3 linked regions of the Macaca fascicularis genome follow. The protein of the gene in region 1 interacts with the protein of each later gene in a biochemical or structural test. Links are inferred from orthologs where the notes say so. Each region holds a gene or a part of one and is shown on either strand. Other genes may lie near its edges.

Region 1 (4,165 bases):
AAACGCACACGTCCAGGGCCAACCACGGGGCCTGGAGAATGGCTGCTCCGCTCCTTCCTTAAGCCAGGCCTCAGGTGTGACAGGGAGATAGAACCTGGGGGGCACGGAAAGGGCAGCAGAGGCCTGGCTGGGGCCTCTCTCCCCCACAGCACAGGCAGAAGCAGCAACGAGACACAAGACCACCGAGGAGGCTGGGCCTGTGGGCGGGGGAGGGTTGAGGAGGGGGGTCGGAGGCACTCGGTTGAGCCAGGCCAGGGAGGCGGACCAGGGTGGGAGGGGCACGGAGGGCCTGTCAGCACTTTGGTATGGGGAGGGGAGGGGCTGGGGGGACACATCCGCCTGTCCGTCGTCCGTCCGTCCGTCTGCCCTGCCTGCTTCTGGCTGGGCTCAGTCCTTCCAGTCCTTCTTGATGGTGAGATTCCACTCCCAGGACAGGTGGTCGGTCTTGTCGTCGTCTGTGAAGCGGGACTTGATGCTGTAGCTGCCCCGGGCCAGCATACCCTTGGGTGCCTCCTCCACGGGGGTCAGGAACTCGTACTCCTCGGCCCGGGGCCCATAGCTGCCTACCATGTAGTCAGTCTTGTCAACTGCGGCACAAGGAAGAGGGCGGTCAGCGGCCCTGCGTCCCCGCTGGGCACCACGCACCCAAACGGCCCCCTCCGCCCTGCCCGGGGCCCCACTCACTCTTGACGCCTTTCCTGTACGTGTGCTGGATGTACTTCATGCCGGACACGATCTCTCTGTTAACCTGCAGGACCCGAAGCGAAGATCAGGGAAGGTCGGCCCCAGTCCCGCCTCCCTTCCCTGGCCACAGCAGCCGACAGCTTACCCGGAAAGAGATTTTTATCCGGTACTCTACACCCTCTTTCAGCACAAACGACTGCTTCTTGAAGCTCTCCAGGTCACCTGTTGGGGGGACCTCTCCTTCAGTGACTGCCCAGCAGCCCCGCGCCCCCAGCCCTGCGCGGCCCCTTGGCTGCACTTCCCGAGATCCCCACCAGGGGCCGCCCGAACCCCCGCAGCCGCAGGGCGCTCACCTGTCAGGTCCAGCTCCAGGGGGCCCGGGGCCGAGCTGCACACCAGGGTCAGGCCAGTCACGACGACGTTGGGGACGTTGGGGTCTGGGGAGTGACAGGAGGTGAGGGCCTCACCCCCGCCAGTGGAAGCAGGGGCTGGGGAGCGGCAAGACAGCTGGAGTGCACGGGTGGTCACCGGGCTCCCGCAGCCCAGACTCACCTGCCGAAACGGCCACGCGGCCCAGCAGGGCCTCCTTGTACTTTCGCAGGCTCTCGTCGTCCTTGTCCAGCTCCTGGATCTCCTGGATGCTCTTCTGGGCCGGGGGCTTGTAGTTGACCGAGTGCTCATCTTCCTCGTTCTCTGCTGCAATCTGGGCCAGCTGCTCGGCTGTGGGCTCCTGCTCAGCCATGCTCACGCTTAGCCTGGGTCAGGACACCTGTGGGCGGGACGGTGGCAGGCCTTGGACCTGGATCCCCAACGGAAGCGCACTTTCTGAGCAGAAGCGTGGACTGCAGCCAGAGCTCCAAAAGGGCTCCAAGGGGGCCACCCTCGCTCCTCTCCTCCGCCCAACTCCTCCTCAGGGGCATCCTCTGGGGCAGTGTGAGGTGCCCCACGCCAGGTATAACATCTGAGACAAAATGGGAACTGCAGCCGGTCCTGGGGAGAGAGGGCACACCTCCCCCTCCACGATGGAGGAGGCAGCAGCCCCCGGCATGCGTGGGGCGGGGCTAGTAGGCCCCAGACCCAACTGGCAGGGCCCACACTAAAGCCTCTCTTATGGGCTTGCTGCTCCTGAGCTGCCCAGGCCCTTGCCCTACCGGGTAACGGAGCTGGGTATCCCTCAGTAGGGATGCTCCTCTGGCCGCGCTAGTCACATGTAAACCTGTGTGGTCGGCTCATCCTCATCCTCATCCTTCAAACAGGATGCCCCTGGAGCTCGGATGCTAGAGGCAGCCAGAATACCGCAGGGAGCCAACGGGGCACAGGGGATCCTAAGTATCTCCGGTTTCTCTACAATTGTGAGAGTCTGTGACCTACACTTGGGAGCTACCACAGCCGCTCAGTACCGTTGGGCCCTCTTGTAGATCGGGAGCCGGGAGTGCCCGGGGCAGCACTGACCCGGCAGGGACCCGAGCGCGGGAATGTCAGGCTCAGATTCTTCCCGGCAGCGTGGGAGGTGGATCAGGGAGCAGCCCACCCGGGACGCCCAGGCTGGGGTCCAGGCCGCCCTGCTTCCTCCAGGCGCTGGGGCCTCTGCGCCGCGCAAGGGTGGCCGCAGGCGCCGGGATCCTAGGGCGCGGCCCGCACTTCCGCAGGGCCCGCAATCCGCGCCGGGCGTGGCCCGGGCGCTGGGGGAGGCCGCGCCCCAATCCCCGCGTCGCCCCGGAACGCCATGGACCGCGGCTGCCGGCCCGGCGCCCCCCGCGTCCCCAGGGAGGGGTCCTCCGGTCTGGCCCGGGCCCCACGCGCTTCGGCGGCCATGAAAGAAGCTCAGGGGCGCTCGGGCGGGGCTCGCAGTCCCCTGGCCCCCGCCGCCCCTCCGGCCCGGGTCCCGCACGTGGGTCCGGGGCCGCCACCACCCGGTCCCGCCCCGGCCCCGCCCTGACCCGCGCCGCCCTGGTCCGCTGTCACCGCGCCCCCGCCCGCCGAGACCCCGCCGGGGGCTCAGGGCGGGGCGCGAACAAAGGCGGAAGCCCCTACCCCGGCGCCCCCCGCCTCCGCCGGCGCCGCCGGTCCCCGCCCCGGCCCGCCGCCTCCGCCCCGCCACGGCCACTCACCGGAGGGTTCGGCCGCGCGGCTCAGGCTCCCTCCCGCACTAAATGACGAACGTCGTCGGCCGCTCCGCCCGCCCTGCCTGTCACTTCCGGGGTCACGAGACTTCCGCTCGCTCGGGCGGGGAAGGCCAGGGCGCATGCGCGGCGCGCGGGTGGCCGGGGGCACGGCGTCGCCATCTTGCGGCCGGGCCTCGTGGGCGCGTTCCGCGTGGGTTCTGGAGTCGTCACCTCTGTAAGCCAGGGCACTTCCCCCACGCGAGCCCAGGGCGCCCGCGCCCAGGAGGCGAGGTCCCGTCCCGCCTCTCGCCGCTGTCCAACCCGCGCCCACTGCAGGCCTGCGGCGGCCGCGTGGGCTTTGGAAGCTCGCGCAGGTGCAGTTCGCTGCCCTCCCCGGCCCAGTCGGTCCTACTGCGACTCTCGTTTCGGGGCCTTGTTATCTAGTCCCGGGACTTCGGGGAGGTAACGGGCACGGGGATTAAGTTCTCGTTAAACATAGGCGAGTGCGCCGGCGCGCGGGCCGCTCCAGAGCCTTGGTGTCTCCCGTGGAAGGACAGGGCTTTGGGACAAGGAGGAGCCCCTTGCACGCCCACGCCCCATGGAAAGCTCGTGGTGGGCGAGGGCGCAGCCGCGGCTTTTTTCTCCAGGTTGAGACAGAATTCATGCGCGGCTCGCGCGGCTACTTGGCGCAGGCACAGCTGCAGAGACCCTAGTATCCCTCAGGAATCTCGCGACTCCTCAGGACCAGAAGGCAGAGACCTCCTGGCACCGTGAGCAGATGAGGGGCTTCCTTAGCCTGGGCTTCACCGCAGACGCTCAGGTCCCCACTCCACTTGTTCCGAGATTTCACACATTCGCCCACAAGGACCGTGTTGAAGCATCAGGAACGGCCGCATAACGTGAGTGGCCTGGCCTAGCTGTAGTGCTCGCACTCAGCCCTGTGCTCTCCACTACTGGAGGCCAAGCCCCTAAAGGCCCTGCACCAGACACTGGGTGGGACGCTGCCCCACGTCCAGCCCGCAGCACTTGTTAGGGCTGTGGACTCGTTAGCGTGGACTCCTCTTTTTATTTATTTATTATTTTTTTGAGACGTAGTCTCTGTGTGTCACCCAGGCTTGAGTACAATGGCGCAATCTCGGCTCACTGCAACCTCCACCTCTCAGGTTCAAGCAATTCTCCTGCCTCAGCCTCCCGACTAGTTAGGACTACAGGCGTGAACCAACATGCCCAGCTAATTTTTGTATTTTTAGTAGAGACAGGGTTTCACCACGTTGGCCAAGCTGGTCTCGAACTCCTGACCTCAGGTGATCCACCCGCCTCAGCCTCCCAAAGTTCTGGGATTACAGGTGTGAGCCACCACGCCTGGCCACCCCACC
Region 2 (3,636 bases), on another chromosome or scaffold:
GTTGTTCCTCAGAACACAAAGTGGGACTCCTGCCAAGTCACCCTTGACTTACTGTGAGGCGTCCCTTAGAGAAAGGCCGCGCCCTGCCCGGTACCCCCTGAGTCACAGCAGGGTGGCTCTCATTTCTCAGAATGACACCACACCCTTCCACATGTGTCCAGTGGGCTGGAGACTCCTACTCTACCAGTCAGTATGTTTTTAAATCCATTTACAATCTGAATCAGTAAACATCCACTGGGTATAGTTTCCTAAGGTACTGAGAAGAATTTGAATTGTCTGGGGATTATAGACTGATTGTTAATACAGTAGATTTAACTACTAAGTTATTTCATCCATAATACCCCCTAAAACCACAGGCTGCCTCATCATCAATCGGGGCTCAAAGCCAGCCTTTCTCTAGGAAGTCTTCCTCACCTCAATTCAACCCCAAACCCCAATCCCTCCGGCCAATCCAGGTTTGCCGAGCACCCACACAACTGCCACTCGTTTGGGCACAACGTGGAGAGCAGCGCTCTCTAGGCTGACCCACCCGCACACTCAGGAGCAGGAGAATTCTGACAGCGGCTGGCCCGCAGTGTGTGCTGTGTGCCCAGGACTGCTAGGGGTGCGTGACATGTACTCATCTCACCCTACGAGGACACAGGCAAAGACTGGAGAGAGGAAGAGGCCTGCCTGAGGTCACAGAGCTAGGATAGGACATGCACACAGGATATCCACCCAAGGAATCTCAAGCATATTTAAGTTTTGCTTCCAAAGACACTTTTAAAAATGAAGAACAAACATGTAACAAGATCAGCAAAAGATACACAAGTAAAACAACTGCTTAAAGAAAAGTAACTTTTAACCACAACAATGTCTTCTAAGTACCCATTTTCACCAGCTACTGCTCTAATTAGCTTTGATAAATAAATCACTTTTGTCTGATACAGAAAAAAAAACTAAACTTTTTTTTCTGATTGGACACAGTGGATACATTTTACAAAACCAAAACCTCAATCTACATTGAATAGATTTAGGTTCTATAGCCATACAAATTATGTATTTTGTGGGAAAAAATGCATTAAACCTGTAAGATTAGTTACTAACTTGGTTTAAAGAAACCCGAATCTTAACTGCTTAATTTGATTCTGCGGTACAAAACTGTCACACAGCAAACTTGTCTTCAAACCAATTGGTGTTAAAAACTGATTTGCAAAAACAAAACAAAACAAAAAGCACCTTTCATACGGTTATTCTGAAGCTAAATGGAAGACTGTAAAATGCCCAACAATGGAACAGCTGTTAACGCTCAAAACACAAAACCCCTGCCATCTAGGGGGATGTTTATACGGAACTAATTCCGCCCCGTCTGCTATTTACTCAATATCCAAATGATGGCAATATAAGCAAGTCCACAGGTAACATGCACTAATTAAACGCTCGAGAATTATATACTCTAAAAAAGACACATTAAAAATCAGCTGCAATCCTTACTGTTTGCGGATAGGATAGGGGGCGTAATCTGTCATAATCTTCTTGTCCAGCTGTATCCCATAAGCCCAGATTCACCGGTTTTCCATCTACCATAACATTGGCAGAGTAATTGTCAAAGCTGTAGAACGGAATGAAAATGGTTAGTCACAGATGTGGAACCTAAGTCACTGTCCTGGCCATCCTAGAGAAGGTGTGCCAAGAAAAAGGGTGGGGACGGGCCTGGAGGATGCCACACCAGCAATGTCTCTGCAGGCACGAGGAGGAAGGAGGCAGGGGCAAAACTCACGGGAAACAAACCCAACCCAAAACTTGAGAAAGAAAAATGAAAGAAACAAACAACAAGCTATTTAAGTGAAACAAATCACTGTCAGAAATACATACACTTCACTTTAAACAAAGTTTAAGACTTTTATCCCAGGAAGAAGTAAGTGTAAAATTAGCCCCGCTTTCAAATCCTCCTTGTTGGGTTTTTCATGTACTTATGTCACTCATTTTCAACAAGAGAGCTGGCCACTAGAGCTACCCTCTGCAGGGTTTCCAGAAGGCCTGAGTGTAGAACAGTAACACAAAAGACACTTGCCTTAACAAGCCTCCCAATAACATTTTCAAAGTGAGTGTACCTGATGACACAAATATTTAAATTCATGTGAAGTTGGCCGGGCACGGTGGCTCTTGCCTGTAATCCCAGCACTTTGGGAGGCCGAGGCGGGCGGATCACGAGGTCAGGAGATCCAGACCATCCTGGCTAACACGGTGAAACCCCGTCTCTACTAAAAATACAAAAAATTAGCCGGGCGTGGCGGCGGACACCTGTAGTCCCAGCTACTCGGGAGGCTGAGGCAGGAGAATGGCGTGAACCCGGGAGGCGGAGCTTGCAGTGAGCCAAGATCACACCATTGCACTCCAGCCTGGGCGACACAGCGAGACTCCGTCTCCCAAAAAAAAAAAAAAAAAAAAAAAAAACAAATTCACATGAAGTTGCTACACAAATTAGTCAGGAGAGGTAACCCAGCAAAGCCTACAGGCTGACAGAAGGAAATCGGACCCAAGTTAAAAACTGCTACTGGTCAGCAGAAACCAAGCTTTAGAAAAGAATAGTGTTTCCTCTGGACAGGAAGGCAAAAAAGAAAAGGAAAAATACAATAAAAAGCAGAGGCTGGGCACGGTGGCTCACGCCTGTAATCCTAACACTTTGGAAGGCCGAGGTGGGTGGATCACCTGAGGTCAGGAGTTTGAGACCAGCCTGGCCAACATGAAGAAAACCCTGTCTCTACTAAAACTGCAAAAATTAGCCGGGGCGTGGTGGCGGGTGCTTGTAATCCCAGCTACTTGGGAGGCTGAGGCAAGAGAATCACTTGAACCCGGGAGGCAGAGGTTGCAGTGGGCCAAGATCACATCATCGCTCTCCAACCTGGGCAACAAGAGCAAAACTTTGTCTCAAAAAAAAAAAAAAAAAAAAAGGAAGAAGAAAGAAAGAAAAGGTGATAGTGACAGACATGGTAATTATGCTTCCATAAGAAAAAGATTATAGGATAGGCCGGGCGTGGTGGCTCAAGCCTGTAATCCCAGCACTTTGGGAGGCCGAGGCGGGCGGATCACGAGGTCAGGAGATCCAGACCATCCTGGCTAACATGGTGAAACCCCGTCTCTACTAAAAATACAAAAACTTAGCCGGGTGAGGTGGCAGGCACCTGTACTCCCAGCTACTCGGGAGGCTGAGGCAGGAGAATGGCGTGAACCCGGGAGGCGGAGCTTGCAGTGAGCTGAGATCCGGCCACTGCACTCCAGCCTGGGTGACAGAGCGAGACTCCATCTCAAAAAAAAAAAAAAAAAAAAAAAAGATTATAGGATAAATGGTATTGTGACTTTCTTTCCCCTATAAGGGAAAAAGAATCAGGTCCTTGCCTCGTTCTATACCAAAAATAAATTCTAAATGGATTAAAGATAAAAATTTTAGCCACAAAAAACCTAGAAAAAATACTAGAGCATACTTTTGCATTATTTAAGTAGGAAAGGCCTTTCTAAGATACAACATACAATTCTGAGGGAGAGGTGGTATTATTACTATTATTTTATTTTTTTTTTGAGACAGAATCTCACTCTGTCACCCAGGCTGGAGTGCAGTGGCGCGATCTTGGCTCACTGCAACCTCCGCCTCCCGGG
Region 3 (3,636 bases), on another chromosome or scaffold:
TTTCCTGTTCAACTCATTGGAATAAGAAAAGAGATTTGATTTAGTGATCTATACACTTAAGGACTTAAATTCATGTTATTTATCTCCCAATATTACTTATCTTCATGCCGTAGGAAGTGATATATACCAGTAACTCACATTTTTTCAATAATTCATATAATTCACATCAAAATTCCTATTTTTGAGTCAGTAAATACTGTTTTCAATCTTAATTTCTTGGATTTACTTATTAGTTTAGGTAAGTAAAAACCTAATGGAAGTGTTAAAAATGTATTATAGATTTCTGAAACATGGCAATTTGTTTACTGAGATCAAAACTTTAGATGGAGAGATTATTTCTTAAAAATAAAATAAAGTTAATGCTTGTAGCCTTTTTACATAACTTGAATTGCAAAAGATTTTCATGTCTCTTTAAAAATTATTAGGCTTTTGCCAAGTTAGAAATGAAATATAGTGCCTGTAGTCCTAGCTACTAGGGAGGCTGAGGTGGGAGGATTGCTTGAGCCCATGAGTTAGAGGCTGCATTGAGCTATGATTGTGCCACTGCACTCCAGCCTGGGCAACAGAGCGAGACCCTGTCTCAAGAAAACAAAGAGGTATATACGTATTTACATGTGTGCTAATTTTTAGAAACTGAACAGATTTGATTTCTTGCTACTATTTTAGCTTCTTTTGATAATGAGAATGTTTGGAATTAATCACTGTTGGGGGAAATACACATATTTCACAGAACTAGAAGAACAGACTCGAAAAGCTCTAGAACTGGATCAAGAACGAAAACGAGCAAAAGAAGAAGCAGAACGGCTTGAAAAAGAGCGTCGAGCTGCTGAAGAGGCGAAGTCTGCCATAGCAAAACAAGCTGCCGACCAGATGAAGAATCAGGAGCAGCTAGTAAGGAACTGTCTTCTTAGAGAAAAAAGTTTAAATAAAAGCATAGAGTGAACCCTCTAAAAAGAAAAAACAAAAAGCAACCATTTTGTGCTTTCTGGAAAGCAAGCCAAAGATAACATGTAACTTAGTAACAAAGTGTGGACAAAAACCTAAAACTTTTATTTCTGCCTAAACAAAAACCTAAAAATACAAAAGAATAAGATTTTTTTTTTTTTTTTTTTTTTTTTTTGAGACGGAGTCTCGCTCTGTCGCCCAGGCTGGAGTGCAGTGGCCAGATCTCAGCTCACTGCAAGCTCCGCCTCCCAGGTTCACGCCATTCTCCTGCCTCAGCCTCCCGAGTAGCTGGGACTACAGGCGCCCGCCACCTCGCCCGGCTAGGTTTTTTTTTTTTTTTTTTTTTTTTTGGTATTTTTTAGTAGAGACGGGGTTTCACCGTGTTAGCCAGGATGGTCTTGATCTCCTGACCTCGTGATCCGCCCATCTGGGCCTCCCAAAGTGCTGGGATTACAGGCTTGAGCCACCGCGCCCGGCCTATATTTTTCTATAGATTATTTGTAAATGGAGTCTCTTGTCAGCAAAAGGTTCTGATTCACTTTGACATTGGACAGGTTCCACAGTAAGTCAGTTGGCATCTTTTGCTTTAGATACATTAATATGTTATAGTTCCTATGAGATAACTATAGGCCATAATTGGTTGGAGTTTTTTGTTTATTTAGTGGACTTGCAAATAACGAGGTATAAGCATGTTACTTAAAAGATCCTGGATTTAAATATTAGTTCACACATGCTACTTGCTATGTATGTGTCTTTGGCTCTTTCTGAGCCTCAGTTCCTTCCCTTTGAAAAGAGGAATGATGGCTGGGCACAGTGGCTCACGACTGTAATCTCAGCATTTTGGGAGGCCGAGGCAAGCAGATCACCTGAGGTCAGGAGTTCAAGACCACCCTGACCAACATGGCAAAACCCTGTCTCTACTAAAAATACAAAATTAGCCAGGCATAGTGGTGCACACCTGTAATCCTAGCTACTTTGGGAGGCTGAGGCAGGAGTATTGCCTGAACCCGGCAGGCGGAGTTTGCGGTGAGCTGAGATCGTGCCACTGAGCTCCAGCCTGGGCGACAGAGCGACACTCCGTCTGAAAAAAAAAAAAAAAAAAAGAAAAAAGGAATGATACTACCTGTTAGGATTATTGGGGAATTACATGAGATGATTTGACAAAGTGCCATTTAAAGTATATAGCATTATATAAATATATTTTCTCTTTTGTAGACTTTAACAAATAGTTTATTGATGAAAGTTTTCTTTAAAAACCTTTTAAGTTACACATTTTAAGTTCCTGCTACTGAAAGCAGGATTAACTGCTTGTCTGTAGAATAATAGTAATCTTTTAATTTTGTCTCCTCCTTAGCTCATTACTTCAAGGACTTATTGTAAATAAGCTATTTAAGATCTTAAGAAATACTGTATTTTTTTAAATGGAAGACTATCTAAGAAAAACATAAACAGCCTAAGCATGTACATTAAAGCTTTGTTGACTTATAAGATTATTCAAAATATGTTAATCTTGGAATTATATTGTTTACTTTAGGCAGCAGAACTTGCTGAATTCACTGCCAAGATTGCACTTCTAGAAGAAGCCAAGAAGAAAAAGGAAGAGGAAGCTACTGAATGGCAACACAAAGTAATCATTTGTTCATTTACTAGCTTTTATTGAATAGCTTTTGTACCCAGGATTATGCTGACTTTATAGAGATGAATATAAGTTACTGTCATAATTTAGAGTGGGAAAAATACTTGTGTATGTGTATTGTAAATATTTATCTACGGATATAAACCAAGTACTTTGAGAACACAGAAGAGGTGATTAATTTCTGTGGGGTCCAGAGAGTTGTTGGGAGACCCATATACATTTAAGCTGGGTCTTGAATAATGAATTAAATTTTGGGGGTACGAAAGATTGGGACGTAAGATTGGGAATAGTTAGAGACTGAAGAGGTGGTCATTCCAGACAGAGGGAACTGAATGACTATAGGAAGTATGAATGTATGTAAATAGATTTGAGGATAACCAATAAGCAGCCGAAGCTTTCGTGTTGTTCAGAAATGTTGGAAGATGTGGCCCTCAAGTTAGATAATAGGGAATTGTGAAGGGCTTTAAATAAATGCTCTGCTACAGCAAGGCAGTGGGAGTATCGATTGACTTGGGGCTTAGAAGATTTCAAAACAGGATTGTAACATGATCAGATATGATTTTCTAAAAACCATGTAGTGATCAGTGTGAAGAAAGGATTGGGATAGTGGATACTTAAGAGATAAAGACCCAAACTGAGGATGTGGAAATGAGAATAAAGAGGAATGGGAAGAGATAAGAGACATTTTGTGGTAGACACAAAAGGGCGTGGCAACCAGTGATTGGATATGAAGTTGAATTATTTTTATTTATTTTTTATTTTTTTATTTTTTATTTTTTTGAGACGGAGTCTTTGCTCTGTCACCCAGGCTGGGGTGCAGTGGCGCGAACTCGGCTCACTACAAGCTCTGCCTCCTGGGTTTACGCCATTCTCCAGCCTCAGCCTCCTGAGTAGCTGGGACTACAGGCGCCCGCCACCTCGTCCGGCTAGTTTTTTTTGTACTTTTAGTAGAGACGGGGTTTCACCGTGTTAGCCAGGATGGTCTCGATCTCTTGACCTTGTGATCCGCCCGTCTCGGCCTCCCAAAGTGCTGGGATTTATTTTTATTTTTTTAG

The links.
Region 2: the proteins of ARHGDIA (region 1) and RAC1 are reported together in a solved structure, tested with the Homo sapiens proteins (2 studies listed by BioGRID and IntAct, with this or other methods). The link is inferred for Macaca fascicularis from reciprocal best matches to the Homo sapiens genes ARHGDIA and RAC1.
Region 3: the proteins of ARHGDIA (region 1) and RDX form a complex in vitro, tested with the Homo sapiens proteins (2 studies listed by BioGRID and IntAct). The link is inferred for Macaca fascicularis from reciprocal best matches to the Homo sapiens genes ARHGDIA and RDX.

The regions. Positions count from the first base shown.
Region 1 is NC_088390.1:88,245,539-88,249,703, forward strand, and holds the start of ARHGDIA (rho GDP-dissociation inhibitor 1), read right to left. Parts: upstream 2,836-4,165; 5' UTR 2,719-2,835; intron 2,330-2,718; exon of another isoform or gene 2,056-2,329; intron 1,454-2,055; 5' UTR 1,427-1,453; coding exon 1,237-1,426; intron 1,122-1,236; coding exon 1,038-1,121; intron 907-1,037; coding exon 830-906; intron 749-829; coding exon 685-748; intron 588-684; coding exon 388-587; 3' UTR 1-387. UniProt on the Homo sapiens protein: Controls Rho proteins homeostasis. Regulates the GDP/GTP exchange reaction of the Rho proteins by inhibiting the dissociation of GDP from them, and the subsequent binding of GTP to them.
Region 2 is NC_088377.1:45,974,541-45,978,176, forward strand, and holds part of RAC1 (ras-related C3 botulinum toxin substrate 1), read right to left. Parts: intron 1,592-3,636; coding exon 1,474-1,591; intron 1-1,473. UniProt on the Homo sapiens protein: Plasma membrane-associated small GTPase which cycles between active GTP-bound and inactive GDP-bound states.
Region 3 is NC_088388.1:109,175,664-109,179,299, reverse strand, and holds part of RDX (radixin), read left to right. Parts: intron 1-730; coding exon 731-891; intron 892-2,479; coding exon 2,480-2,572; intron 2,573-3,636. UniProt on the Homo sapiens protein: Probably plays a crucial role in the binding of the barbed end of actin filaments to the plasma membrane.